Notamacropus eugenii: one gene and its partners. The protein of the gene in region 1 binds, or shares a complex with, the protein of each later gene. Links are inferred from orthologs where the notes say so. Each region holds a gene or a part of one and is shown in the gene's direction. Other genes may lie near its edges.

Region 1 (7,349 bases):
CAAACTTTTTTTGATTATATATTAGGTTAGGGGTATCAAGAAATATATTATGTCTTACACTTACACATAAAGATATGGAGATATAGGTTTGTTAAAGCCAAACAGATTTGGCTTTAACAAATACCCTTTCTTAGCGTAGAATCAATGGCAAATGAACAGTATAGGTGTACTAAAAACATTTTCATTGGAGAAACTGGGAAACACAGGAGATGAAACTTAAAATTGATTTTGAAAGGAAAGTCAGGACCTAAGACAGGAGTGGGGAACCTGCGACTTCCAGGTCACATGTGGTCTTCTGGGTCCCTGGATGCAGCTTTTTGACTGAGTCCAACTTTTACAGAACAAATCCTTTTATTATGGGGATCTGTTCTGTGAAGTTTGCATTCAGGCAAAGGGCAGCCCTTGGAGACCTAGAGGGTCACATGTGGCCTCAAGGCCACAGATTGCCCACCTCTGATCTAATACTTGGCTCTTTTTTGGATCCATGATGACTCTCCATAAATGTAAAACACATCCCTCTCACTCCTCCCCTAGCCTTATTATGGATAATATATTTTCCAGTAAGTACATGGAGGATGTACCCAATCTTCTAACTTATTTTGTAACAATCTTCTAATCTTTCTGCAAAGGCAGAGAGGCAGGAATGTGGACAACATGAAAAGAACAGGTTGGGCTGATTACACAGATTCCTTAGAGAAGTTCTCTATATAAAGTTAGATGTGTGTGTACTTCCCCTGCCTTCCTTGCAAAGGTAAAGAACTATTGATGTGGAATACTACCTATAAAATCAGACTTTTTTCAAATGCTGACTAATTTTGCCACTTTTCATAATAGTTATAAAGGATAGCTCTCCAGAAAGGAGGAAATACCGGGAAATATAGATAAGCTAAAAACAAATGATATCAACAATCTATGTTTTAACCATTTTAAATAGGTGTGTGTAAAGGGAGTGGTTGAACAGGGCTTTGAATAATAGCTAAAGAATAGCATAGGCAATGGAAGTCTTTTTAAGATTTCTGAACAGAGGGGACAGAAGAATGACATAAGCAAGGCAATGTTTAGGGAGATTAATTTGCTAAAGATGAGTGGTAGACTAGAGACAGAGCAGGTAGATTACTATTTCAGTAGTTCTGATATGAGATAAAGTGGGCTTCGACATGAATGGTGGCAATCTGAATGGAAAGAAAGAAGCAGATATGAGATATATTAGGAAGGAATAATCAATAGGATTTGAAATCTGATTAGATGAATGAAAAACATGTACTTTATTCCAAGGGGTCAACAATCACCTCATGAGACTTATGTGAAAACCAGTTTTATTTTACAAGAGAAACGAACAAGCATGTGGAACCCAAAGAGTTCACAGTCCTTACAGAAGTTTGCATATTTATGACAGTACAACAAAAGGAGGAGGAAAAAACATATATTTCCACCTAAAAGGTATGACATGGGAGGGGAAAGGTGCAGTAAAGCTCCTCCTGAAGGGGAGGAACAAGGTGATGGCAAAAGCCAAATTCTTTTACCTTGGAAACCACTAAACCATAAGTTCCCAAACTTATTTAGCCTATTGCCCCCTTTTCCAAAAAGAAAAATTATTCAGTGCCCCTCTGAAGTTAGGTAACCCTTTACTTTTATTCAAGGCCCCTCAAATGCAGGTGAGGCTATGATTCCCCCCCAATCTTTTGATAGGAGGAGTCCTGCTTATCTGCAAAGGACCCCAGCTGCACAAATATTTTCCCAGATTGGCACAGATTGTCTGGTGCCTGTCTTGTCTCCCAAGGACACACAGTAATCCAGGTCCGGGTGCAAACAACAAATTATGTCAGCTGCGGGGCAGCTTTGTCCCAAACACATGCAGGGCTGGCCTCCTGCATGCTCTGGGTCTAGTGTTTCTGGAAAATATGGCAACTCAAAAAGACAAGTTCAGGGGACCCCATAACAAAGCACTGTGCTGTCCTGGGGATACAGAATCAAAAGCAGAGAGACTGCTCTCAAAGAAGTTTGTATTCCAAAAGATTAGGAATAGTGAAAGAGGAGACTATGTGGGAAAGGGAAGAAATTCCAGATTGGACACTAAGTTTGGGGGAAAGGTGAGAGTTTAATTTTAAAATGTAAGTGATAACTGAATATTTTGTAGATGAATAGAGATCCAAGAACCCATGTCTTAAACCAGAATTCTCTGATACACAAATCCCTTATACATAAAAATGGTCAATTCATACTATTGCGCCAGGGACAGACTTTCTTTGGAAGAATTCTCTAAGGCATATTATTCCTTTCTTACTACTTGCCAAGCTGCTCTATTTCACTATGGTGGAAGAGAGGTGAAAAGCACTCAAATAATGCTATCACAATCCTTTCCTTCTCGTTTCCCACAGAAACAATGCCATATAATGGTTATTAGGTTCTCTAATCAGAATATAATACCGTCTGGTACTATTTCATCTTCATTGTGGATTAAACAGGTAAGAAATCTAACCACAATTTACAATATTGTTTCCGTGGGGAAATGTGTGAACTCGACCAATTTACAAAGAACTTTTGAAACACAAATAATTTTCAAGTGACCTGTACTTCTTTGTACATCCATCAAAACAGGCACCTGCAGTACTTAGTGCCATAAAATTAACATTTGCTTGATTAGCAAGTATTCCATATTCTTGATTAATGTGCTTTAAAAAACTGTTTTGCTGTTTCTAAGTTGTGCATTTGGTTCATCTGTAAGAATGTCTGCCCCAAACAAAGTCAATCTGAATACTAGAGAGGTTTTAATTCTAAATAGATCTCTCAGTACAACAGACATTTATTAAGAGCCTAATATAAGATGTTTCAAAAATGCAGTTTTTTAAGCACTAAGAGGTTTGGGACACTTTGTACTTGCAAGGAATTGTACTGGAAATACAAAGGTGAAAAAAAATGAAAGGGGTCTCAGCCCCTAAGATATTTGTAATATAATGGTAGGAGGGGTACACCACGGATACGCACAAGTATAATAAGGGAATCAGGGAATTCGAAGGGGGAGAGCTGAACAGGAAGAGATAAGATAAGAATTGGTTTCTAGGCCTAGGAGTCAGAGTTAAATGGAGGAGAGATGGGGGAGGAATCTTGCAGGAAGATAAGGACCGAGGCGTCCTTGAGCTCGCAACCCTCCCGGACAATCCACAACAATTTAACCATTTATTTGGTACCAGACACGGGGCTCAGTCCGGGGGATACAAAGAAGAGGCAAACACTCGGTGCCTGCCCCAAGTCCCCAGGTTTGGATTCACTCAGCTCCTCCTCGGAGCCGCTCTGGGGGTGTAAAGCACTCCCAGGGTAACGGGGAACCATCAGCACGCAGGGCACGCACCGAGCTCGCCCCAGAGCAAGGGCCTCCAGGAAGGCGGAATCGAGATTTTGGTGGGATCTGGGCCCCTCGAGATGCGCGTGTTCTAAGGGTCCACATGTAAAAAACCTGTTCAAACAGGATACGTCGTAGGTAAACGGGAGGTGAGGAGGGAGGATGGGAGGGGGCGGGGGGGAGGACTAGGGCAGGCCCCTGCGGGTGGGATCTGAGCCGAGTCTGGGAAACTAGATCGGGAAAGGAGAAACATGAACCTAAGTTAGCGCTAATCTAGCGCTTTCAGAGTCGCCCAAGGCTCGGACTTTTTAAGGGGGATCTCAAGGGATCACCCCTTCCCTCATCCCGCAGAGACAGCCCTGGACCCGCGGTTTCGGAAGCGCACTCCAAGCCGCCAGCCGTCCTCGAGTTCCCATCCAGCCTCGGCGGGCGGGGGGAGGGGTCACCGCAAGCTCTCTCCATCCCCTGGGGCGCCCCGGCCGCAACGAAAGCCCGGGGCTCCGATCAGGGGGGCTGAGCGCCCGGGTAGCGGAGGGGAGGGGGAGAGCGAGGCAGCCCGAGACCTGGGGACGCCGACCTGCCAGCGACCGTTAGAACCGTTACTTACCATTCCCAATCGCGCCCAGGCGGGGCTGGCGGAGGAGCGAATGGAACAGCATCTGAGGCGGCGGGAAAAGGCCGGGGAGCAGAGGAAACCCGCAGGCGGTGCAAAACCTACAGCCCCCACGCCCTCTCCCCCGTCCCCAGCCCATTTATACCGGCTAACTCCCGCCACCACCGGCTCCAGCCAACAAACTCCGCGCCAAACTGACGAAACGCCACCTGATTGGCTCCTGCCGTTCCATCGCTGAGACGCAAGCCACGCCTCCTTCGAGATCCCCGCCTCCTTCTCACCCGCCCTCCCTCCTCCCACTGAGGAAGCCCCAGGGCGAGTGGCTATTGGCTCCGTTTGCGCCTGCGCCGGGTGAAGACGAAAGGCTGAACGGCGGAGCACTTAGGCCGCATGCGCGGTATTAGCTGGCAGAAAGCCGAGGTAGGGGGGAAGAAAACACGCGAGAACAAATTGGAGGGAGATGGTTGCGTTGCTGCGGAGTTTCTAATCCTGAATAGGCTTGTCTAATTACTGTTAGAGCGCCATGGCGTCGAATTCGAGCAAATCTTTCTTGGCAGACGCCGGCTATGGCGAACAGGAACTGGATGCGAACTCAGCCCTCATGGAACTGGATAAAGGTATCACGGTAGCTAACCGTCCGCGTCAAAATGGGAGGGGGGGAAGGACGGGGAGAAATGGCGCCACCAGCTGGTCGAGGCCTGAAGACGAGCTAGGGGCGCATGCGCGGTAACCTTGGCAGTGGGGGTAGTCCTTTTTCTCGGAAGCTGGCACGGTTTGTTCCACGCTTTCCGTGGGTCGCGGGAGGTGTGGGAGGTGAACTTTGAAATGCCCGCAGCCTCAAGCTGGAGGGCTTGGAGGGGGAAGGGGAAAGCGTTCGGGGCCGGGGGCGTGGAGCCCTGGATTCACGCGCCAGCCACGCACCTGCTGTCAAACCTTTAGCTTCCCCAAAGTCGAACTGGTTTATAAAAATCTTGGGCCTGTTAAAAGTACGTGCCTTCTGAGCCCGGCATTTGATTGTTGGGTCGTCTCCGACTCCCAGGGACCACATCAGGCCTTTCTGGGCCAAGCGGCTAACGACCCACAGGTTAAAGGATTCCCCCGGGGTCACGGCTGGGGTCGCATTTGAACTCGGGTCTCCCTGACTCCTGGCCCACCGCCTCTGCATTGCGCCCCCTAGCTTGGATTGATGGACCTTCTGGACTTGGGTTTGTCGCATTTGCAGCGAATACCGCGGAGGAAGGGCTTTTGTCACTGTTTTTGACTCACCTATGAGAGCAAAGTAGAACAAATGGTTTTTATTTTTAAACGTTGAAAGCGCCTTAGCTGTTTCTATTACCCAGCGCAAGAAGTTGGTCAGATTTGCAAGAATACAGGTCGTTCCCCAGTTGACAAGTTTGTCCAGGGATGTGAACAAGCAGTTTTCAGATGAAGATATCAAAGCTAACTGTACTCGTATGAAAAAATGCTCCAAATCACTACTGATTGGAGAAATACCAATTAAAACAACTCTGAGGTGTCACCTCACACCTATCAGATTGGCTGATATGGCAAAAATGGAAAATGTTAAATGTGGAGAGCATATGGAAGAATTAGAACACTAATGCATTGTTGGTGGAATTGTAAACTGATCCAGCCAGTCTTGTGAGTAATTTAGGACTGTGCCTAAAGGACTGGAAAACCGGGCATACGCTTTGAACCAGCACAATTACGTCTATATTTCTAAAAACTCCTGTGGCTCTCAAGGGTAAAGAAAAAAATTTTGTTTTTGGCACTTAAAGCCCTCCAGAATCTGACTCCAGCTTCCTTCTTCAGACCAGGCACTGAAAGGCTGAGGAGAAAATAAGACCAGTTGTCTGGGTTTAAGGACCTTACAGTTTAATGGGAGAAGACAACTGTGTGTAAGCAAGGCATCTGCAAGATAAATTGGAAATAATGTCTAAGGAAAGGCACTAAAGGAAGGTTTCCTGCAGAAGATGAGAGAAGCAGAGGAAAGAAAGAGAACCATGGAAAATGTGCTGGTGAAGGAGTGTCCCTTGTGAGGAATAAATAGCAGGTGCCACTGGATTGCAGAGTTAGGAGGGAGGGATTAAGGTATAAGAACTTGGAAAAGGTTTTTATACTTGATCCTGGAGGGAGCCATTGGTGTTGATTGAATAGGTGAGGATGTGGGCCAAGAAGACAGCTTTGATAGAAGAGTGAAGGATGGATTGGAGGAGAGACTTGAGGTAGGGAGACCAAGCAAAAAGATATTGCAATAGTCCAGGTGATGAGGGCCCAGCACCAAAGTAGTTTTCATGTTAGAGAAGAGAAGGGGCCTACTCTAGAAATGTTGTAAGGTGGGAAAAGATAAGCAATAAATTGAATATGGGGGCTAGGCTGAGAGAGAGTGAGGGCTGGATAAGTGGATTTGAAGATAGTTGGTGTAGACATAGGAACTGAATCCATAGGAACTGAAGAGATCACTATGTAAAGCAGTATGGGGGAGATATGTTCTGTCTAGGACAAAACCTTAGGGGAACCCCCCACAGTTAGTGGATATGTATGGCTTGGATGGAAATCCAGCAAAGGATACTGAAAAGGAACAGATTGGTAAGGGAACCATGTGGTCTTTAAAAAGGTTCAAGAGACATAATTTTCTGGATAATTTGATAATTTTATTAATAATATCTTAATTTTAATTAAATTTGGCTGTCTCTCTTTTAGACCAGAGATAATCATGGGGCAGGCTCACTGCTTCTCTGCCCATTGGAAGAGGGGTGAGATCAGGGTGGCAATCAAGTCTGATTGACTAAAAATGAGAGAACGAATAGTGCAATGAGGGGCTGGACCTGAACTTTGATTATGACTTTTACTTCTAGGTTAGTTCTATCCTTGGGCAATCTATTCAAAGATTTTATCCCTACTCAGACCTGAATAGGGCACTGTGGCTTTCCCACCTGGGTGGTTTCTGAATCCTAGCTCATTAGTAATCTTTCATGATTAGTCTGATCTTTTAAAATCAGGACTTTGGAAAAGGGGGAGAACTCTGGATCTCCTCAAATCATTGGTTATTGATAATCATTTCTCTCAACCAGGAGAGTTATGTCACTAGAACCAAGAGAAAAGTGAGTGTTAAGGAAAAAAGAGTGATCAATAGTATCCAAAGGCTACAGAGAGGTTGAGAAGGGTAAGGATTGAAAAAAGGCCATTGAATTTGACAATTGACAGATCATTAATAACTTTGGAGAGAGGAGTTTCAGTGGAATGATGAAGCTTTCTGGAAGCCATGCAGTAGAGATTTGAGAATGAGAGAAAAGGACGAGGTAGCACATTAGTCAGTAGTTAAGTAAACATTTATTAAAGGCCTGCCACATGCCAGGCACTGTGCTAAGCTTTGGAGACATTAAATGCAAAAGG
Region 2 (7,293 bases), on another chromosome or scaffold:
AACTTCTAAGATGGTAGAGGGGATTTTGAGGGGGAAGGGAGCAGAAAGAGAGTGGGGAAGGGAGAGAGAACAAACACATATAGTCTCTACTATGTTCTAAACATTACTAAACACTTTATTACAAAGATTATCTCATTTGATCATCAAAACCCTGGGAGGAAGGTGCTATTATTATTATCCTGATTTTATAGTTGAGGAAATTAATTCAAACAGAAGTTAAGTGATGTGCCCAGGGTCACACAGCTAATACATCTGAGAACAGATTTAAACTCGGGTTTTTCTTATTACAAGCCCAGCACTCTATCCTGGCTATCTGTAGACAAGAGTAACCTTACAAAAAAAGGGAGGTTTTCTTCTGGGTTACACTACAATGGCTCACATTATACGTACTACTTTAGAGTTTACAAAAAACTCTTCTTCCAATCTTAGGGTAAAATGACTTAGGATAACATTCCAAAATAAGATTTAAATGATTTATGGAATCTTTTGATACAGTTTTCCTCCTCCCTAATGCTGGAATGATTGGCCTAATTAACCTAAATATTCTGTTCCCCCCCAATTTAACTATTTAGTTGCAGAATCATTCTTTGCTATTTTGCTACAAATAAATGTTTTCTTTACTACTTTACACTTGTACTTTGCTATCCTGAATTCTATAGGTAATTTGAAAAAAGAAAATTCATTGGGCTGTTACATGAAAACCATGATGACTGATCTAATTGAAAGAAATCTAGATCTGAGTTCAGGTCCTCTCTCTCTCTCATCCACAAAATGAGCGTTGGTCAGGATAATCTTTAAGGTGCAACAGCTAGAATGCGATTAAATTCCATGATATGTCTGAGGAAGCTGAAGTTTATAGAGATCAATTCAGAGGTGATACTTCATAAAGAATTATATAAAATGAAGTTCAATTCTAAAGGTCAAGGCATATGGACGAAAAGCTATGTTAGTATTTAACCTGCTTCTTTGGATATAAGAAGTTGGATTGAAATGTAAAAGCAAAACATCTTCATGTAAACTTGGCCACAAAGAGAGACTCTGTTGCCAAGAAATCCAAATGCTCAGATGTATCCTCATAATTAAAAGGGATCCACAGGGTGGATATTGACAATATTAAGGCATTTCACAGGGCCTGAATGTGGTTGTCTACCAGCTTGAATGTAATTACTGAAGCCAGTATCACAGCAGTGGACTACTTAGAATACCTTTAATTTCAAAGTACAACATCAGGTACTGAGTTCCACCTAAAAATAATTAAATATCATAAACTCTCATACTGTGTACAAATTATAAAACAGGCAGAGAGCACTGAATACTGAGGGAAGCAGGTAGCATAACCCTTGAAACCTTAGACATCACTGACACTCCCTACCTGAATCTGATAGCTTTTATCTTACAATAAAATGCTGCCCTTTTAAAAGGCTATTTGAAAGCTCATTATTGACTCTTTATTTCAAGTCAAAAAGGACATAAAAGTTATAAGGAAAACAAGTGTAACTGAAACACTGAAAAAGTAATGCGTTAAAGAACTGTTTAACTGAATTGCTTATTCACACTGACCTCTCCAACTAATACTTTAAAGTAAAACTAAAACAGGAAAGCATATTTTCAGTTAAAGACAGTCTCAATCAGAGCCAGCATTGTGACTTCTCCATCAAGGGATTTAAAAAAAAAAAACCAGCCAAAGGTCTTAATACCAAATTTATTTACAAGACAAATTACAAACAGTTTTTTTCTGTCATAGCTTCAAAATAGCTTGAAAAAAATTAAGCTATCCATTTAAATGACAAGGCTTATGTTTTAAAACTGTTACAAGGAATATTAATTCTTCCTACTTGCATTTCCTATAGAATAATAACAAAGCTTTTCAAATCAACCTACTCAAAACTATCATTTGGTTGTAGTCAGGCATGAGCTGTTTTGATTACCTTAAAAATCTATAAATGCAAAAAAAATTAATTTTCCCTGTCAGTATTTGATATGCTGTTAGCACGAGCATCCTCCAGGGGATCCAGGGAGCCGGAGACTTAGTGACCAGGGAGTCTAGTGAGAAACTTCAAAGCCGAGTCCTAGGAGGAAGGGAATACCTGAACATTGCAATTTCATCAGGACTCATGACTTCCCCTTGGGAAAAGCCCCCTCCACCACTCTAGGTTTACAAATGTTCTGCTAGCCTGCTGTCTCCCAACATGCTTCTTGAAAGCACCACATATTTTTTCATCTTTTGCCATTTCTTTGATCCCTAGTGCTAGCACATTGTTGGTTCTTAAGTAAATGCTTGCTGACTTGACCCAACTAATAGTCACACTGCAGGGGTTCTCTCCTTAGTTCATGAACTTGTTTTTAACTTTTAATTTAATGTTAAGTTTTTTAAAAATTTTAAAATTTAAAAAAATTAAAAATTCTGACAGCTGTATTTTAATAGTTTCCTTTGTCATCCTAGGTTATTTTACTTAATGCACTTAAAAACATTCTGAGAAAGAATTCATAGGCTTTACCACATTGCTAAAGGGGTTCATGAGACACACAAGAAAGGTTAAGAACATCTGTCTTAGGAAATAGCAGCTTGTGACAGAGTCTTGCCCAAGGTCACACCAAGATGCTTTCAAAGCAAGTCTGAGGGCTTCCTAACTCAAACAGGATCATAGATTAAGGCCTTCTAGTCCAACCCCTTTATCTTACAAGTGAGGAAAATAAGACCCAGGGATCTGACCCTAAATCTCTTTAATGCCAGTTATAATTCCAACAAAGTAAATCTCAAGTGCATTTCCAGTGGTGGGTGTTATCGGATTAGCTGTCCCTGGTAAAGGACCAAAACAATATTACAATGTGGAAGTCAAGGTACAGGGTACCCTGCTGTGGCATACAAGCCTTCTAAGGCTCTACCACAGGTAGGGCACAAATGATGAGGTTAAAAATTGAAGGTGCAGAGAGGATTTGGGGGAGGTTCATGAAGATTGGCTACTTGCTTCCTTCCAAGTCCCAACTAAAAATGCCAACTTCTACAGGAAGCCTTAATAATTGGCATCACTCATGCTAATGCCTTCCTGTGGCTGTTCATCCCCAATTTTGGCTGTATATATTGTGTTTGCTGTTGTTTGCTTATCATCTCCCCCTTTAGACTCTTAGAGGGCAGATACTTAGAGGGATTCTTGACATCCCCATTACCTAGCCCCAGTGTCTAGCATATAGTAGGTGACAGTAGGTTCAGATCAGAAATCAGACACTTCCTAGCTGTGTGACCCTAGGCAAGTCACTTCACTGCTGTCTCAGTTTCCCCATGGGTAAAACGGGGATAATAATAGGGCCTACTCCCAGGGTTGTTGTGAGGATCAAATGAGATCACCGTAAAGCGCTTGGCACATAGTAAGCCGTACATGTTATATTACTTTATTTTTAATTTATATTACATATAACATATATATTATTTAAGCAGTAAGTTACGTCATTTATTATTCCTTGCTGTGTATCCCTGTGCAAGTCACTTAACCTCTGACTCATTTTCCTGATCTGCAAAATGGGGAGAAGTCTAGCACCCATCTGCCGGGGTTGTTGGGAGGACCAAATGAGATGGTAACTGAGATGCCTAGCGCAGCCCGTCTGCTGACACGCGCACCCATCCCCTAGCCCAGACAGTTTAGTATCCCAGGTGTGTACAGGAGGAAACAATGTATCAGGACATTCCTCCCGCGGTCTGAGATGGTAACTGACATGCTTAGCGCAGCCCGTCTGCGGACAAGCACACCCATTCCCCAGCCCAGACAGTTTAGTATCCCAGGTGTGTACAGGAGGAAACAATGTATCAAGACATTCCTCCCGCGGTCCCGTATCTGTCTGGCACGTGTACCCCGGGCTCCAGCTTGGGCTTAAGAGAAAACCACTAAGGCTTTCCATGGTAACAGTAAGAGCTTAATAAATGCTTGATTGACTGATTAAGGAAAAGTTACTTTAATCACACGGCCTCGGAGCCCCGGGAGGCTGACCGAGGGTGGAGGACCTCCTCCCCGCCTCTCGAGCTCTGCCCCGGCCCGGACCCAGTCCTAGAAGGGTAGGTAGCGGCCTAGGTCGGTACGTAGCCGGAAGGTAACGGCGGAGCCCCTCCCCACCCCCGAGTCCCGCCGCTCCTCCGGGATCCCCGCTCTGCTCCCGACCCGCTCACCCAGCCCGAGCGCCGAGATCTTCGAGAGCGCTGGCGCGCGGCAATTCATAAACGGGAGGACCGGAAGCTGCGCCACTTCCGGTCGTCGCACCTCTGAAAATTGTCCCTTCCCCCCGTGCCCCTGGAACCTTTGTTTTTCCGCTCGGGGAGCCAGCCGGCGGGTGTCGGCGGCCCGGCTCCAGAAGCGGACGCCGGGGCGGGACGGAGAGGCGGCCGAGGGCGTGGGCCCGGTGAGTCGGTGGGGGAGGGGGGCCGCAGCCCGCGAGGGTCCCTGGCGGGCGCGCGGACAGGTCCGCGCTCACCGCCGCTTCCCCCGGCGAGGGCCCGGAGGGGGCGGAGCCAGCGGCGGCCGAGCTGGGAGGGGGGGGCCGGTAGGAGGTGGGGACTGACCCCCCCCTCCCCCAGGCTGCCCCGCCCTGCGCGGACTTCTGCGCCGGCCGTCGGTGCCGAGGGGAGAGCGGGTTCGAATCCCTTTGCGGGCACTTGTGCGGGCTGGGCGTCCCCTGCCTGCCCGCCTCAGTTTCCCCCTCTGTAAAACGTGAGGTTAATAAGTGGCCACCTTTACGCCCCCGCCCTGCCAAACCATTCAACTTAGGCCTGCCTCAGTTTCCTTCTCTGTAAAATGGGGGTAATAATGACACCTGCCCCTGACCAAGCCACTTTAATTTTTCCCTGCCTCTGTTTCCTCCTCTGTAAAATGGAAACAACCCTGGCCCCTTCCCGTTGTTGTGAGGGTCAAAGAAGATAACCCAGGTAACGTGCTTTTACACCCTAAATGACACTAACAGCGATGAGGAGGAGGAGGAGGGGTAGGTAGAAGCAGCTGGGCTTAGTGCGAGGGATTCCTGGAGCCAGGAAGACCTGGGTTCAAATTGAGTTCACACTGGACGGGCGGCCCTGGGCATGTGCCGCATCTCTGGACCGCTGATAGACATGGGGGGGCCCCCTAACTGTCCGGAAAGACCTCTGCAGGAGCCCCCACCCTCGGCCGAGACACCCCCGTAGTGTATTTTCATCTGCTTTGTCCTCCCAAGTGCGTTTGCATCTGCTTAGGGAGCTCTTGTACGTGCCCCCCCCCCCCCCCTCCCGGTGCCTCCAGAGTCAGGGCCAGGACTGGGGAGATCTGGTCCTCACCTAGGAGCTCCCAGCCCTGGTGGAACCCCTGGTGCCTTCCAGAGTCAGGACCAGGACTGGGGAGATCTGGTCCTCACCTAGGAGCTCCCAGCCCTGGTGGAACCCCAGGTGCCCTCCTGAGTCAGGGCCAGGACTGGGGAGATCTGGTCCTCACCTAGGAGCTCCCAGCCCTGGTGGAACCCCTGGTGCCTTCCAGAGTCAGGACCAGGACTGGGGAGATCTGGTCCTCACCTAGGAGCTCCCAGCCCTGGTGGAACCCCAGGTGCCCTCCTGAGTCAGGGCCAGGACTGGGGAGATCTGGTCCTCACCTAGGAGCTCCCAGCCCTGGTGGAACCCCAGGTGCCTTCCAGAGTCAGGACCAGGACTGGGGAGATTCTGGGGAGAGGCAATGAGGGTGATCTCTGGGCACAAGCATTTTAATCAAGTGCTTGCTATAGGCCGGGCAAAGTCAAGGTTGCCGGCCTTCTGCCAGGGACGCAGCTGGCAGAAAACTAAGTACAGTGTTCCCAAAAGCAATTTTGTGTCAGATTTGTCCTGTTACATGCTGGCTCAGAAGTTGTTTGCCCTCCCTGCCTTACCTTCTTTTAGCTTCTTAAGGTGATGGCCTTTACCTTAAAGTCATCGAGTCCATCTCACTGGTACAGATGAGGAAAATGCATCCCAAAGACACAGTGATTCTCCTTCACAGAATCAGTAAAACTGGCAGAGCCAGGTCTGTTCCTGGAAAGGGAGAACTGTGGGAGAACCTGGTAGATAAAAGCAGGCAGCATCTGCCCTTGAAACTTATCTATAACTGCATCTGTGGAAGAAAGGAGAGGTGGCCAAGGCCCTCTGAGCATCGTCCCAGAGGATGTCTGTCACATGGTCTTTAGGAGGTGTTCTTAGAGTGAAGGAACATGTTGATTCTCCCTCTGTAATCCCTCCAGGCTTTAAGGCCATTTCCTTGCCAGAGAGATGAATGTGGGAGGTTTGTTTTTCCTCTCCTGTCAGATTTGGAAAGGTGATATAGGTAGTAAAGGCTGACTTGATGAGCAGATCAACATCATTATCAATTATTGTTATTAGTGTATCTAATTCAGCTTTGAGAGACTCAGCTACTGTGATCGAGACAATGATCCAAGACCGTTCCAGAGGAGTTGTGATGAAAAATGCTGTCCACCTCCAGAGAGATGTCTGATGAACTGTGTGCAGACTGAAGCATGCTTTTTAAAATGTCCTTATTTTTCTTGCTTTAGTGTGTGTGTTTTCTTTTGCATCATGGCTAATGTGGAAATATGTTTTGCATGACTTTGTCTGTTTAATTGATACATTGCTTGCTTTCTCCAAGGGGTGGGATAGAGGTGGAGAATTTGGAACCCCAAATTTCTAAAAATGAATGATAATTTTTTTAATGTTATTAGGAAATATTTAACAAAGCATATAAAAATACATTCAAAATAATAATGTATCCAAGTCAGCAGATTTATCAGGTGTCTGTATGCAAAGCATGGTGTCTGGAGCTGGGCATATAGACTGAAATCCCTTCCCTCAGGGAGCAGAGGGGTACTAGAGGTACTAGAGAGGAACAACATATAAACAAACAAGGGAATAAAGGATGATTTGAGAAGAAAAAGAGCTTTAGCAATAAGGAGAATCTGGAAAGCCTTCCCCTAAATATTGGCATCAGGTTTTAGCTTTGAAGAATTCTGAGAAGCCTTGATGTGAAGCAGTGTGGGCCCATGTGCTAACTGGACATTTACCAGCTGGGGTGCCATGGACAAGTGGCTTCTGTTTTCTCTTCTGTAAATTGGATAGGATTCTATCTGTACTATGTACCTTCTAGGTTTTGTTTTTATTATCTCTTCAGTTTCCACATCTACAAAACTGAATAAATATATGATCCCTGAGGTCTCTTCATGAATATTCTCTTTGACTAATACACTGACTCCTTGTGAGAAAAATGCTTTGTAAATGTTAATATTCTGCCTCCACATGAGCTATTATCATTCTTCTCCACTCAC
Region 3 (8,017 bases), on another chromosome or scaffold:
ACTCCTCTCAAGGAAGGCTTTTTGTGAATTTTAGAGTACTATGTAAACATGAAAAGTTATTAATGACCCACATAATCCACACCAAAACAAAGGGAAACCATTGCCAGTTTGGAGACATGAAACTCATTTAGGAATCATAGAAATTTCAAGCTAGAGAGAGAATGAAACAATGAAAAGAGTAGTAGCTTTGGAGTCACAGGACCTGAGTTCAAATATTATCTTTGATTCTTACTACCTGAGTGTGCTTGAGCACTTCATCTCCCTAGGCCTCAGTTTCCATATCTGAAAGACATGATGTCTCTTCCAGCCTCTACATCTGTAGTCCTGGCGTCCTAGAGGTCTTCTACTCCAGTGGTCTCAAGCTCAAATTGCATGTTACTTTTAATATATCTACAATATCTCTACTTATTGCAGGTGGGGTAGCTCCCTGAAGGCAAGCCTGTTGGTGCTATATGCTACACTATACATGTGTAAGAAGATGTGATTTCACATTATTGGAGGACACAAGGCAAAGGGTTTGGGAAAAAAATACTGCAGGCATCCAGAAATAAGCAGTTTAAATACCAAGGAACCATAGTTAGGATTCACACAGAATCAAGAAGCTTCTACTATAAAATGAGAAATCCTGGAATATGATATTCCAAAAAACGAGACAGGCTCATGACAAAGAACTTACTCTGTAACACCAAGTATCCTACGGACCAATAAAAAAACCCCACAAAAAAACCACCCACACTTTTAATGGAAGAGGACTTTACAAGCATTTCTGATGAAAAGATCAGAGCTGAATAGGAACTTCGAAATACAAACTAAGTCCAAAAAAACCTCCAAAGGAAATTTAGTCAAGCAATTGGAAGGATCCATACGACTATGTAGTGTTAACATTTTGATAGGGGCAATGAAAACAAGTGTACCTTCAGAACATCAATGTCTTTAAAACAGATTAAGACAGTTAAATGACAAAAAAGTCATCCTGGGAGTGGATTGATTTTGTTTTGAGTGTTCTAAGAGGAGAAAGGGAAAGGAAGTAAAAGAAGAAAAACATCAGAGGAACAAGGAAGAAGGGGTGTAAATAGAAAAAGTGAGGGCAGTGGTCATCAGATGAACCTCATTTAACTGGAAAAAAAGAGGACTGAATACACACTCACAAGGCTTGGTGTAGAAACCATTAAACTCAACAAACAAGCAGGGATAGAGAAAGGGTGTTTGGGAAAGGTTAATATTGGAGAAGCAATAGTCAAAAGCAGAACAAACTCCTCATTTGTGAAGGAAAGCAAAGAAATAGACTCTAAGAGGTTGCCTCAGATCAGTAGTATAAAACTAAAATAGAAAGGGTTCCCTGCTGGTCATATACTAACTAGCCCTCCCCCATTAACATTAACTCTGTTGTATTACATTTTTATTTTGTTAAACATTTCTCAATTATATTTTAATCTGGTTCAGGCAGCTTGGGAGTTGTGCAGCCACTTGCAGCCCACAGGCCACAAGGTTGATACATTTGTCTTAGATTTCCTTTACATAACTGAGGAATGCCTGAACAAACTGTGGTATATGAATTTAATGGACGATTAGCATTCTATAAGAAAATATACAAGGAATAATAGTCTCAGAGATTCCTGGGTGCACAGTGAAGTGAGAAGAACCAGAACAATCTAAACAAGGCCAGACACTACAAAGGAATACAACTTTGCAAGACTTAAGAACTCCGTTCAATGCAGTGAACAGCCATGTCTCCAGAAGACCTAAAATGGAACATGTTACCTACTTGCCTGCAGGTGATAGACTCAAAGTACAGAAAGACTTTTTTTTTTTTTTAAATAGACAGTGCATAGATTTGTTTTGCTTCACTATGTTTATTGGTTACAATTTCTTTTCTTTCTCCTTTTATTTATCTGACAATGGGGTAATGGCTGCAGGAAACTCGTGGGGATAGAGGTTTAGCAATAGTGATGCCAAAAAAAGGGCCCTTGTAACATTTTTAAATGTAGAGAACAGAAAGGAGTTGAGAAGTAGAGATAAGGGAAGTTTTGAAAATTTAAAATGACAAGTTTTTTTAAAAAAGCAAGCAGAAGAGTCATGGTTTCTTATAAATCCCCCCATTTGTGTACTGTGTATAAAAATTTTTTTTGTGGTCAGATTTTTTTTTTTTAATTAAAAAGGATTAGATTTGTTTTTTGCCTCAGAGGGATGAACTAGGCCCAGTGAGAATTTCATAAGGCAGATCTTGGGTCCCTTTAAAAAAAACTTCCTAGCCTTAAGAGCTACCTCAAAGTAGAACAGATTACCTCATGAGGTAGTGAATTTTCTCTCAAGCAAAAGCTAGAAGACTACTGGTTGAGAATTTTGTAGACAGGGTTTCTCAATCAGGTGTGGGTTGAATTAACTGGCCTTGGGGTCCCTTTCATCTTTGAGGTTCTATGATTCTGATGTCATATTCAAATGCCACAAACTCAGATCTTAGCACCTATGTATATTCCAGTTCATTACTTGATTGACTTATGGTAATTTATAATGGCTCTTGTGGGCCATTGCAGGTAAGTCTAATTCATTAGATCCTAACTCTAGCTAATTTTATTTCCATAATTGGGAACATTATTTAAACCAAGGATCAGCAAGTTTTTAAAGAAGTACTAGGCCAAGTTGCTATTTACTCCTAGTAATAACTAGGCTACTTTTAACTAGCCCTTATCAGTTTTAGGGGGTAGGCTCTTACATCAGATACTACTTGGCTTTTCTCTAAAACCTTAGTCATTGTGACCAGGAAAGGGGATATATCTCAAAACCTCACTACTTGTCATTCCACTATTATAGTCTCATTCCACTGGTTCTAAAACTTCTCCAAATCTGAACCTTTTAAGAAGCACATGTCAAAAAAAAGATGTACATGTCACCTTGTCATAAGCTTCTCTTCTGCATTCCCTCAAATCCCCCACCCCTCCTTAAGGTATTATCAGCAAGAGTTCATTGACACAAGGCTGAGATTAAGAATGGGATAAAGGCTAGATGAGAATGGGCCTGGAACACTGAAGGAGGAAGAGGAGGGAAAGTGATTCTGAAACGGAGAGAGTACCGAAACCCATCTTTGCCTGGGCTGCCCATTATGCTGATGCCTTGTTCACTCCGACTTTCTTTACCAATGCCCTGACTTTTTTTGCCTGTTTTGAGTATTTCCAGTTCTTAGCTCTTAACACTGTAGGTTTTAAGACAGGAGGGGCAAGGAAGCAATAAGACATGTGGCTTCTATGAATCCCAACTCTAGAATCTGGATTCTGGATTCTATGCTCACAGGATGAAGAGGCCCTTATCCCCTACATTTAATTTTGAGTCATTTCTCAGAATGCTCTCCACACTGCCCACATTCTGCACCGGGTCGAGAAGAAAGCGACTTGGAACTCTCGAACTATATAAGTGAGCCATTACCATTCCAACAAAAGTTGAATTTCTTGCCATTCCCTAACCTCATTCAATACTTTCCTAACTAGGAATGCTTTTGCTCACGTCTGAGACTAATTCTATCTCAGGCCCATCCATGACACCCTTCAAGACCCGGGTCAGAACCATCTCTGCCAGCAAGCTTTCCCAGATGTAACCCTGGAGAAACGGTCTCCCGGACCGAACCCCTCCTTTGTATTGACGACCCCACTCATTTCTACAATAGGTCTCATCTTCTCCACTACACCACCAGGTCCTGGAGGGAAAGGCTACTTTTGCCTTCAGCTTGGTGTAGTTCACAGGCACAATGGCGCAGTGCCTAGGCTTAGGAGCGCCACTGTAAACTGACAAAATGGTTGAGGTCCAAATCTTACAACAGGAAGAAAGTTTACGTCCTAAAGCTTCTACTTAACAAAAACAGGAGGTGCCACAAACATGAGGCTGAAATCTTAACCGAACCCGTGTGATACTGCGGGGAAAAAGGTCTTTGCTGTTTGTCGACAGCCAGCGTTCAGGTTCCATTTCGGTACGAGGGGCTGGGGCCAGGCCGGTCAGGGCCCGGCCGTGCCCGGGGGGCCCCGAGGCAGGCCCGCGCAGGTAAACAAGGCCCCGCCGCGCCAAGGGCGGGCGTGCAGGGGAGCTCGTTCGGCCATGAGGAGCGCGCCTCCCCCACCCTGCTGCTCTCGGGCTCCGCACCACTCCCCGCAGCGGGGTTTGCCACACACAATAGGGGGAGGCCCCGGGGGTCAGCCCCCGAAAACCTTCCCGAGGAGGCCCGGCCCCGCCTCGCCCGGGCCGGCTCCCCGACGCCGGGCCAAGTGCCGGCTCCATCCGGGTGTCGGGCCCCCTCGACGGGCACGGGGCGCCTGAAGAGAAAGAGCAGGGCTCGGGGCGGAGACTGATGGCTGATCACAAACAAGCCCCGCGATCCCCTCCCCCAGGCCCGGGATCCGCCTGCCGCTGGGGCCCTAGGGAGCTGACTCCTCCCGCGACAGCGGCGGCGGCAGCGGCCCTGCCTCCCTTCCCTGAGTGCCTGCCCCGCTCCACTCCCCGCCCTCATCACCCGCCTCCCAGGCCGCGGGCTGCTCTCAGTCACCTCGGAGAAGGGGGAGGGGGCGAGGGAGGCTCGGCCCAACCTCCATCTTCCCCCCGACCCCCATCACCTCCAACAGCCAAGGAGAGAGGCCGCCTGGCCCCGCCGCGCAGGCTCACAGCCCCGGCCAGCCCCGGCGTGCCTCCCCTCCCCCACCCGGCCGCCCCTCTCCGCCCCTTCCCGGAGCCTGCCCGGGGCCCGCCTCCGCGCCTGCCCACCAGCCCGCTTGCTCTCTCGCTAGCTCTCGCGCGCTCCCGGGCGCCTCGCCTCCGCGCGTGCTCCATAACTGTCCCCCGAGCCGACCGTCCCACTTCCCCCGCCCCTCTGCTGTTTGAATATTCTAATGAGGGAACAGTGTTCAGCCTATGGAAGAGCGGGGCGGCGTGTCACATGGCACGGGGACGTGTCAGGGGGGCGGAGCCCGAGGAGCCCCTGCCCGAGTTAAAACCGGAGTGTGAGAGAGAAAAGCGCTTCAGTAGCGAGAGGGGCCGAGAAAGTGGTGACACCGCCGGGGAGCGGGGGGAGTCCCTGAAACTTCTCCCAACAGCCCCAGGGCCAATTCCCCCCCTCAGCCCAACCCCCTCTTCGCCAGCTCCCGAGTCCCCACTCCCTGCGCCGGGGGTGGGGTGGGGAGCCAGGCCCGTCTCCCGCTGGGACACACATAGGGGCCGGGAGCGGGGACGGGACCCCCGAGGCGGGTGGACGGACGGACGGACAGTCAGGCAGGCGGACAGACAGACGGCCGGGCGTCCGGCCCAGCCGGCAGGCAGAAGGAGGAGGTGGGGGTCTGCTGGGGTGGCCAGGGGCGAGGGGAGTTTCCTCTCAACTATCCGGGGAGAAACTCCCCTCAGCCGGAGGAGAGCCCCCGACCGTGTTTTCCTCCCGGGGGCCGCGCTCCCCCGCCCCACGTAGCGGCGGCCGCCGCCTCCACCTCCTCCACCAGCTCCACCACCACCACCACCATCTCCTCTTCCTCCACCACCTCGGGCCCCGGTGTCCCCGGCCAGCACTATGCCCATCTTACTGTTCCTGATAGACACGTCCGCCTCTATGAACCAGCGCAGCCATCTGGGCACCACCTACCTGGACACGGCCAAAGGCGCGGTAGAGACCTTCATGAAGGTACCGACTGACCGAGCCAGCTGGCGAACACGGCCGGGGTGGACCCGGGGAGCGGACGATCAGGGGTGGGGGGGTGGCCAGGGGGTGGGGGAGACCCGGCTGCGGGAACAGCCCGGCGTGGGGACCCCCCCTCCCGCCACCCCCGCGGGCGGGCGGGCGCTGGGGTCGGGCGGGGGGCTCCGGAGGGTGGGGGGGGGCCCTGCGTGTGTGCTGCACGGTGGGGAGCGGGGGGGCTCGGTCCGCCCGCGGGGATGCCTCGTAACCCGGGCTGTGTGCTCCCCCGCCCGCCCTGTTCTCTCTCCCCCCTCTCCCGCTCCCTCGCAGCTCCGTGCCCGGGACCCGGCCAGCCGAGGAGACAGGTATATGCTGGTCACCTTCGAAGAGCCTCCCTACGCTATCAAGGTAAGGGCCCCCGCCCGGCCCCGCTTCGCCCTCGCCTTCCCCCGCTCGCCTAGCCCAGCCTTGCCTTCCTTATTCCTTCCTCTCTCGCCCTGCTCCCCTCCCCCCGCCCCATTCACCCTTCATTATGCTCCCCTCCCCCCCGCCGCGGCCTCGGGCCCGCTCCCCGGCGTCTTTTCTCCCCGTCTCTCGGCCCCCCGCCCCCGCCCGCGATGCTCGTGGGGCCGGGAGAAGAGGAGCGGCCGCGCCGCGACCTCCTGCCCGCCGCCGGAGCGGCCGCCCGCGGCGGCGGCGCTGCTATCAACATGGCCGACATTTCCCCCCGTGTGCTGCGAGCGGCGGCGGCAGCAAGGCACTGTGGGGGATGTGTGTTCAAGTTAGCGAAGTGACAGCGGCGGCGGCGGCAACTCGGGCTCAAGTTTGGCTTTAAAGGGAGCTCGGGGCTCGCGCGGCTGGCGGGAGCGGAGCCCGTGGGAGCGGAGCCCGCGGGAGCGGAGCCGCGGCCGAGCCGCCCGCCGCCCGCGCCGGACGTGGTGCCGCCGCGCCCCCAGGCGCGCCCCGCGGGGGCCCCGGGCAGCGGCCCCAGGAGCGCCCCGAGGCCCGTCGTGGGGGGGAAATAAACCATTGTGCATTTCTCTTTGCAGGCTGGATGGAAAGAAAACCACGCCACGTTTATGAATGAACTGAAAAACCTTCAGGCTGAAGGACTTACGACTCTTGGCCAATCCCTAAGGACAGCTTTTGATTTGTTAAATTTAAATAGATTAGTAACTGGCATAGACAACTATGGGCAGGTAGGTTGAATATTCAAGTGGGAAACTAGTTCATTTTCCTTTTTTCTGAAGAGACCGTTCCAGTTCACAAACTTTCCATAATATGACATTTTCAAATGTACCTCCTCTCAAAGCAGATTTAACTCGAGAAGACATGCACACATTAGGGACAGTTCTGTCCCCTCATGTTATTCGTGAAAAAGCCTTTGTTTTCTGAACTTCACTTCCTTATTTAAGACGCTGACATTTTATGGCCCTAGTACAGTTGAAGAATACTGACATTAATTTGTGATTAAGAGCAGGGAAATCTGTGTTATGTCCTACTGTCACCTGCTTACTATGGTGCGACTGTGCTCATACGTACGACTGTTGGCTGACTTTGAGGCACAGGCATTAGTAGGGGCTTAGGGGCTTGCTTCATTCTGCTAGTCAATAAAGAAACAGGGAAATCCATCTGCTGCACAAGTGCTTATCCATTCCTTGTATGTTTCTTGTCTGAAGGGTAAGAAAAGTACACTCTCACCTAAGTGCAGACTTCAACCTCTTGAATACACTAGGATTTCTGAACTTCTTTTTGAAGGATCCAGAATTGGCTTCTACTGCTGTTAATGAACTAAAAATGTTAGGTCCAGAGGACAGAAAAAGTTTTTGCTCTTTCCTAAGAGCTTTTTTTTTTTTTATTCAACCCCTTGGGTTTCTCTGGAAGCTATGGAAGAACCCTTTCCCCCTAAGTCCCTGTATTACAGCTGCTGCTCATCAATTTGAGGATCAGACAAGACCTCTTTTGGAGCCTGGCAACATCATTCTCTAATCCGCGTGATGGTTCAATATGGAGTAATCAAGTTGCTCCATTAAAACATTCCGTGAGACTGTTGGCCTGAGAAATAAAAGATCTGCCTGAGACCCAAGAGGTTCAGTTGTTACCTGGAAGTACATTCCACTCCTACCACAGGGATCTGTTATAGTTAAATATCTGCCTTTGCTCCACTCAGCTCCCTTGAACCATGACTACCAGTTAGTAGGACTGTTCTCTCCCACTTTTGCTTCTTACAAACTAAATTTACTCTAGGAGAAGGAGCATACCTGAATTCAGTTGAGATAAGATTTTTTTTGGTATCCCCGTAGGGAAAAGTGATATGCAGTTCTTACAAAGCTGCTGTGCTAATTATTGGAAAGATCAACCTCAAAATGAATTTTG
Region 4 (6,917 bases), on another chromosome or scaffold:
GAACTTTTTTGATAGGCAACCCGATAATTTTGCTTTTCAATGTGTTTTGGGATGCTAATAATTCTGAGGTTCCCTTTCCTTAATCAGTTCTCTCAATCTATAACATTATTCTGCAATGCTTACATATTTTTCACAAATGTGTTATTATTTTTATCTTCAACATTTTTATTTAAAGTTTTGAGTTCCAAATTCTTTCCCTCCCCTTCTCCCTCCCTTAGATGGTAAGCAATAAGATACAGGTTATACATGTGCAATTGTGTAAAACATTTCCATATTAGTCATTCTGTAAGACTTGAATAAAAGGGAAAAATAAAGTGAAAAATAGCATGCTTTAGTCTGTATTCAGTCAATATCAGTTCTTTCCCTGGATGCAGAAAGCATGTTTTATCATTAGTCCTTTGGAACTGTCTTAGATCATTGTACTGCTGAGAATAGCTAAGTCATTCACAGTTCTTCATTGAACAATATTGCTGTTGCTGTGTACAACGTTCTCCTGATTCTGTTCACTTCAACATGCATCAGTTAATGTAAGTATTTCCAGGTTTTTCTGAAATCACCCTGCTTGTCATTTCTTATAGTGCAATAATAGTCCTTTACAATCATACCACAGCTTGTTTAGCTATTCCCCAATTGAGGGGCACCCCCTAGGTTTCTATCTGCTATAAACTGCTATAAATATTCTTGCACAAACAGGTCCTTTTTCCTTTTGGGGGATCTCTTTGAGATACAGACCTAGCAGTGGTATTGCTGGATCAAAGGGTATGCACAGTTTTATAGCCCTTTGGGCATAGTTCCAAATTGCTCTCCAGAATGGATCAGTTCACAAGGTGAATTATTTTTTGAATTGGCTTTTCTCCTTCAATTGCATTATCTTGCTGCTCTTTGCTCCACTGCATTAATTCTGCTTTTAGCTATATCCAGTGAAATTTTCAAGTCCTCTAAGCTATTTTCTAGTTTTATCTGGCTTTGTTTGCTTGTTATGTTCTCCTGGGATTTCTTAGCTGCATTCATTTCTTCTTTTATTTCCTCTAGGACTCTTTTTTCTAAGTTTGATTCTTCTTTAATTCCTTGTATGTGCCTTTGATCTGTGTCAGCGCATCTCCAAAGATTCTTTGTGTTGTTTTAGATGTAACTTCTGACACTGTCTCAGGGTGCCTTCTTTCTGGCATTTCCCCCTTCTTTCAGTAATTTAAAAAAAAATTAATATTAGAATTTGTTGCCTTTTTGGTCAGTTCCAGGTTTCTTTCTGATATTTCTATTGCTCTTCATTAGGAGGATCATGAGGACCCTCGATCCTTGTTAACTCACACCAACAGCGTTCCTTTAAATATATTTTGAAAGTTTAGTTCTGATGTAAATTGAACTTTTTCTAACCCCAGTCTTTCACAAGTCAGTCTAAATGGAAGCAGTTTATATAGGATTCTATGAATTAGAACAGATTGTTAATAACAGTCCTAGGTAACAGTTAAAATGCAAGTTTCATTTTTCATACAATTACCTGCTAAAGTTCTGATTACAAAGTGGGAAGCTTAAGAGAATTAGCACAGCTGTTGGGAATTCTTATGAATAAGAGACAATCAGGGACTTTATTCCCCATGACATTCTCAAGGCTAGACACATTGGCCTACTGCCTAACTGCTCTCTTATTGCTTTTCCAGATGTCTTATGGGATAAGGATGGCAAGGATTCTCCTCCTTGAAATTCTTGGCTTCCATATGTCTTTGGCCTATTCTCTCATCCTTCTCTACCATTTTCTCTTGCTCCCTAATTGAATCACTAAAATTCAATCATTACACCCCTTTTCTTCTCTCAGTACATTTCTTCAGAAAGCACATGCATATATTCTCACAGCTTCAACCACTGCTTCTATGCAGATGACTCCCAAGACTTTTTCTTCCCTCCGCTCAAAGCTCCAAATCCCCTTTCAACTTAACATATCCTGAATTCACAACCTTCTCCCAACCTATTGACCCTCTTGGTTTTTCTCTTTTAATGGCATTTTAAAATCTCTCATTCACACCAACTCAAAACCTTAGAGTCAAGTCTGAATTCAAATCTGAAATTACTATCTTTTTTTATCTTAGTCAAGTCATGTAACCACTACATTCTGTTTCTTCATCTGTAAAATAAGGCAGTTGGACTGGACGGTCTCTGATGTACTTTCCAGCTCTAGATTCATGACCTTTTAAGTCTTGTTAATCTCTCTCTCTTCTTTAAATTCCTGCAACACTGAACTCCTGCTACTTTGAAATGCTAGCAAATTAATAAATCTAGAGCTGGAAGGGATTTCAGAAGTCATATAATCCCACTCCCTCATTTTACAGATGAAGAAATTAAGACTACTGAAATCAAGAGACTTGGCTAAGGTTATACTAGTAATAAGCATCAGAGGTGGCATTTGAACCCTAAACTAGTGTTTTTACTACCATGCCAAGCTGCACTACAGTCTCTTGCTATCACTCTAAGTTAGCGTCCTCTTCCTTCTCTCTTGTCATAGCATCTAACTAGATTCCTTTCTTTCTGTCTCTCTTCTGACCAGAAAAGACTGATCTCATCATGTGGGCACCCCACTGCCAGTGATGGGGCCAATTTGGGTTCTCAAAGAATAACATTCATTGATAGGTCACTCCTACAAACCCCTGCCAGAGCTTGTAGTTGTTCTGTTTGTCCTCTGTCCTCGTGGCATGGAGAAGATAATAGGTGATGCTGCCACTTGCAAGTAAAGTGACTGAAGTGAAGGAGGGCTGTGCAAAGTCAACAGCCTCTTTCTCTCCTTTGGAGTCATCTGAGTCTCTTTCCCCTCACACAGATCCTCCCCAACTCCCCTTCCAACTCACAGACCCCTCACCCCCATTTCCTTCACACATACTCCCACTCCCTCTTACCATAACCCCACATTCACTCCCTTTTTCTCTATGCCTTGACGCCTAACATATCCTTTCTTCTACCATGTCCCCTGGCTTAAAAGACGCCAAGGTCTCTCATTGCATCCTGAGCTGTTGCCAGTCATTCTGATGAATCTGGTCATTGGATCCATATGGCTCTAGAGGAGAAAATGAGGTTGGTGACCTTGTACAGCCCTCCCTTAGTCAAATGAAAGTCAACTGGAAGTCATGTCATCATCTTGATGTCACAGGTCCTCTTCAGAACGAAGGACAAACACAACAACAACCTCCCCGTACAAATCCCTATCCCCTCACCCTTCCTCCCTACTCTTCACATAGGTCTTTTTCTCTCCTGTCCCCCACTTTCCCATCAGATATCCCCCACGCTTTCTCTCCACCACACTCACTCTTTTTATCTCCCACCATCTACACTCGTATCCTCCTCTTCTCTCTTCTTTCTCCTTTCCTCCATTTCTTCCCTTCACATTCCCTCCTTCTTTCCTCCCAGCCCCCATCTTCACCCCATCCTCTGCCTACCCTCCCATCCCCCGCATCCCCTACTCCCTTTCATCCCTCACTCCCTCCCCCTTCTCTCCTCCTCCCGCCTCCCTACACGCCCCTTCCCACCCCCCCACTTTCTACCATCCCTCACTCCCCCCTCACACAAGCTTCCCCTCCCCCTCTCCCCCAGACATTCTTTCTTTTCATACATTCGCCCATAGCTCTCCCCGTCCTTCCCCTTCACAAAAACTCTGCCCTAGTTAGTGGGCATCCTCTCCTCAGTCACCCCGGGCCCAGCCCCCACCCAGCGCCTCCCTCACTCAACCACACTTCTCTCCTGCTCCAGGGACAAACCCGGCTCCGCGTTTTTCCGCTCGCTCCACCTTCAGTTCCGCCCCTCCACGAGCTCCACCCAATTACCACGCGCCGCGGCCGGCCGCCCTCGTTCACTGGCTACCTGCCCACCCAAGCCCCGCCCCCTCTCCCTGCTACCTCTCCACCTCTTCTCCTGTCTCTTTCCTCCTCTTGTTTTCATTCCCGAAGTCGCACGAGGCTCATCTGTTGCAGGGGGAGTGGGGGCGGGGGCGGGCGCGGGAGATCGAGCGCCTTGAGGGGGAAGGGAAGCTCACATTATCCACGCCACTCCTCCTTCCCCGCTGCATTGTGGGATACTGGAGTCCCAGTCCTAGCTCCGACCTCCACTTCCCTTCCCCTCCCGCGCTCAGCGGGACTCTCCACGGCTGCGGGGGGGGGGGGGTGGGGGGAGGCCCGGTCGAGGCTACGGCGGCCGGGAAGGGCCGGCCCGGAAGAGAAAGGCGGCGCTGGAGGTGCTGTTTGCCCCAGCCGCCGCCATGGCCGCGCATCTAAAGAAGCGGGTGTATGAAGAGTTCACCAAAGTCGTGCAGGTAAACGGCCCTCGGCCTGGCGGACTGCGGCAGCAGCTGGGGAGCAGGACCGTGGGTCCCGGGGCGCCACCTCCGAGGGCTCCTCTCGAGGCCCGGCCGGCTCCTAGTTCCGCATCGGTCTCGCCGATCCCTTGTTCTCCAGACCTCAGTTTCCTCCTCTGTACAATGGGCACAGTCATCTCGTAGCGTTCTTGCTAGGGCTGTAAGCAGTGAGGGTCAGCTGAGTTGGGGGGGACTTGAGAGGCCGCCCAGCCCAGCCCCCAGAGCTCTGTTGGGAAGTTCAAGCTCCTTCCAGCCTAACTTTACCTTTTGGCTTTTGTGCTGGGCCCAGCCTATTTGTGTGATCACCAAACGTGCTCCTCCCGAGATAGCTCAGTCCTAGGAGATAACGGGAACCCAGGTCCCATCCCTCCCTCTGTAGCGGAGGAATGTGGAAGTCACACAAACTACTCTTTGGGGCTCGGCCAGCTCATCTCTGCAATGGGCTGCACAGCCAGGTAGTTCTAGAAGCAGCTTGTAGCTCAGGCAGATACTAAGGGAAGTTTTGTGGTATTGGGTGGAAAAGAACAGTAGGCAGAATTGTGGATACAAAGTATCTAAAATGAATAAAAAGTTACATCTCCCAGGTTGTGGTCTAGAGGAAGCCACTGTAGAAAGTGGCTCTGGATGGCAGGTGTAGAAGTGTCCAAGTGAGGAACTCTAGAGCTTCCCAGGCCTAGGGGGACAAGCCGTGGAAAAATAGGGAGAGGAAGTGGAACAGGGTGTATCACATATAATCAGCCTTAAAGGTAGGGTACTGCCAAATTGTTAAGGCCTTTAAATGCCAAGTAGAGGTGTTTGTATTGTATCCAGGAAGGAATAAGGAGCCACCGAAGCTTCTTGAATGAAAGCATGAGGTTAAAAATGGGTGAGTGAGCTGGACGAGAATACAACAGAGGTAAAATCTGCCCATTCCGTTAAAGAGTTCATAGTCTATTCAGAGAGATGAAGTTTAAAAACTATGTACCAACAAGATATCCTAAAGACTGCTTTAGGAATATGAATTTGGCAGTTGTTTGGGATATGAATTTGGAGAACAGAGTTTGAATGTAGGAAGACCAGTTTAGAAGATTTACCTTTTTTTTTTTTTTGATTACAGATCATTTTGATCATACCTTGAGTAACTTAAAGAAGCTGTTCATTGAATAGGTGTATCTCACTCAAAGTGAGAGTGTGACCTTAGCCTGAAAGGGCCAGGGTTCCACATTACATCCTGGGCCATCTCCAGTCATCCTGATGAATATCTGGTCACTGGATTCAGATGGCTCTGGAGGAGAAAGTGAGGCTGGTGACCTTGCACAGCCCTCCCTCACTCAAATCAAAGTCAACTGCAAGTCATGTCATCATCTTGATGCCATGGTCTTCTTCGAGAACAAAGGACAAACACAACAACAGTAGTATAGACCAGAGCATATGAAGGTCTATGAACAAGTTGTGTGAGTAGAGAAAGCAGGACAAATGGTAGAGATGTGGAGGTAGAGGTTTGTCAGCTGAATGGATAATGTCAGGGTGAAAGAAAGGGAGAAGTTAAGAATGATTCCACTTACTTGTTGTGTTCTAAGTTTTAAGCAGTACCTAAGTGTATTTTTTTTTGTCGTGCCAACTCTGTGACCCATTTGAGATTTCCTTGGCAGAAATATTGGAATGGTTTGCCATTTCCTTCTCTAGCTCATTTTTACAGATGAAGAAACTGAGGCAAACAGAGTTAAGTGATTTACCCAGGGTCATACTACTAGTAAGTGTGTGAGGATGTGAACTTGGGTCTTCTTGGCTGCAGCTCTATATTCTTCACCTAGCTGCCAAATATGTCTATTAGAGAAATGTAAAACAAAGCGCCGTGTAACATCTGAGGTGGGGAGGTCAGTCTCATGGAATCAATCAGTTAACAAGCCTTTATTGGGTGATGCTTCCTGATGTGCCTGCACTGCTACTCACTGGAGAGAACACAGAATCCATAGAACTTCGCAACTCATCTGTAATTTAGTCTTAGAGAGTTGACTGGAGGGATTTTTATTTTCTTATTTTCCTTCACCAAGGTAATCTGCTTTAATCCATTGCAGCAACAACATGAAGAAATTGCAACCAAGAAGCTCCGGCTGACAAAACCAAGTAAGTCAGCAGCACTCCACATAGATCTTTGCAAAGCCACTTCCCCAGCAGATGCCTTGCAGTATCTCCTTCAATTTGCTCGAAAACCAGTGGAGGCCGAGAGTGTGGAGGGAGTTGTCAGAATTCTCTTGGAACATTATTACAAGGTAAGGAGACTACCCCTGAATTCCTCCTGAGATGCCTCTTTGTGGGGCATTCTGGGTTCTCAAAGTCTGGGTCAGAAGAGTGATAAACCTTGGGAAGAACCTGCCAAGTTAGACTGGCTTGAGACATTTGGCTAAATTGTACATTGGATGGAGGAGAGAACCAGAGGAAATGATGGTGTGAAAGTAAAGGTCTTACCAGATGCTGCATTTCACAGATATTGCAGGTTTTTGGTTTTTTTTACAAACTGAAGGTTTGTGGCAACCATGCAATTGAGCAGGTCTATCTGTGTCATTTTTCCAGCAGCACATGCTCACATCATGTCTCTGTGTCA

The links.
Region 2: INTS7 (region 1) and INTS12 share a complex: the UniProt entries of both Homo sapiens proteins name them as parts of the integrator complex. The link is inferred for Notamacropus eugenii from reciprocal best matches to the Homo sapiens genes INTS7 and INTS12.
Region 3: INTS7 (region 1) and INTS6 share a complex: the UniProt entries of both Homo sapiens proteins name them as parts of the integrator complex. The link is inferred for Notamacropus eugenii from reciprocal best matches to the Homo sapiens genes INTS7 and INTS6.
Region 4: the proteins of INTS7 (region 1) and INTS4 are in contact, whole or in part, in a cryo-EM structure (PDB 8RC4), measured with the Homo sapiens proteins. The link is inferred for Notamacropus eugenii from reciprocal best matches to the Homo sapiens genes INTS7 and INTS4. Residues at the interface, in NP_056249.1 of Homo sapiens: Lys137, Asn138, His140, His141, Arg144, Gln145, Gly175, His205, His206, Asp207, Ala208, Ser244, Ser245, Leu246, Val247, Lys282, Thr283, Pro284, His285, Thr286, Thr321, Ile322, Lys325, His326, Gly686, Tyr689, Glu704, Gln707, Gln708, Leu711; in NP_291025.3 of Homo sapiens: Glu536, Met539, Asp540, Arg571, His572, Ala574, Tyr575, Asp578, Ser579, Ser610, Phe613, Arg620, Leu624, Leu627, Gly631, Glu634, Leu635, Phe638, Arg641, Asp642, Arg645, Leu646, Glu648, Leu649, Gln650, Lys677, Leu678, Trp679, Asn680, Val681.

Annotation. Positions count from the first base shown.
Region 1 is NC_092873.1:426,296,120-426,303,468, forward strand, and holds the start of INTS7 (integrator complex subunit 7), read left to right. Parts: upstream 1-4,347; 5' UTR 4,348-4,476; coding exon 4,477-4,570; exon of another isoform or gene 4,571-4,578; intron 4,579-7,349. Other genes in the region: DTL (denticleless protein homolog), read right to left, coding at 3,948-4,092. UniProt on the Homo sapiens protein: Component of the integrator complex, a multiprotein complex that terminates RNA polymerase II (Pol II) transcription in the promoter-proximal region of genes.
Region 2 is NC_092878.1:125,219,665-125,226,957, forward strand, and holds the start of INTS12 (integrator complex subunit 12), read left to right. Parts: upstream 1-4,276; 5' UTR 4,277-4,389; exon of another isoform or gene 4,390-4,423; intron 4,424-4,544; exon of another isoform or gene 4,545-4,912; intron 4,913-5,871; exon of another isoform or gene 5,872-6,027; intron 6,028-7,293. UniProt on the Homo sapiens protein: Component of the integrator complex, a multiprotein complex that terminates RNA polymerase II (Pol II) transcription in the promoter-proximal region of genes.
Region 3 is NC_092876.1:104,426,761-104,434,777, forward strand, and holds the start of INTS6 (integrator complex subunit 6), read left to right. Parts: upstream 1-4,999; 5' UTR 5,000-5,536; coding exon 5,537-5,647; intron 5,648-5,971; coding exon 5,972-6,049; intron 6,050-6,690; coding exon 6,691-6,840; intron 6,841-8,017. UniProt on the Homo sapiens protein: Component of the integrator complex, a multiprotein complex that terminates RNA polymerase II (Pol II) transcription in the promoter-proximal region of genes.
Region 4 is NC_092876.1:125,487,433-125,494,349, forward strand, and holds the start of INTS4 (integrator complex subunit 4), read left to right. Parts: upstream 1-3,911; 5' UTR 3,912-4,237; coding exon 4,238-4,291; intron 4,292-6,390; coding exon 6,391-6,585; intron 6,586-6,917. UniProt on the Homo sapiens protein: Component of the integrator complex, a multiprotein complex that terminates RNA polymerase II (Pol II) transcription in the promoter-proximal region of genes.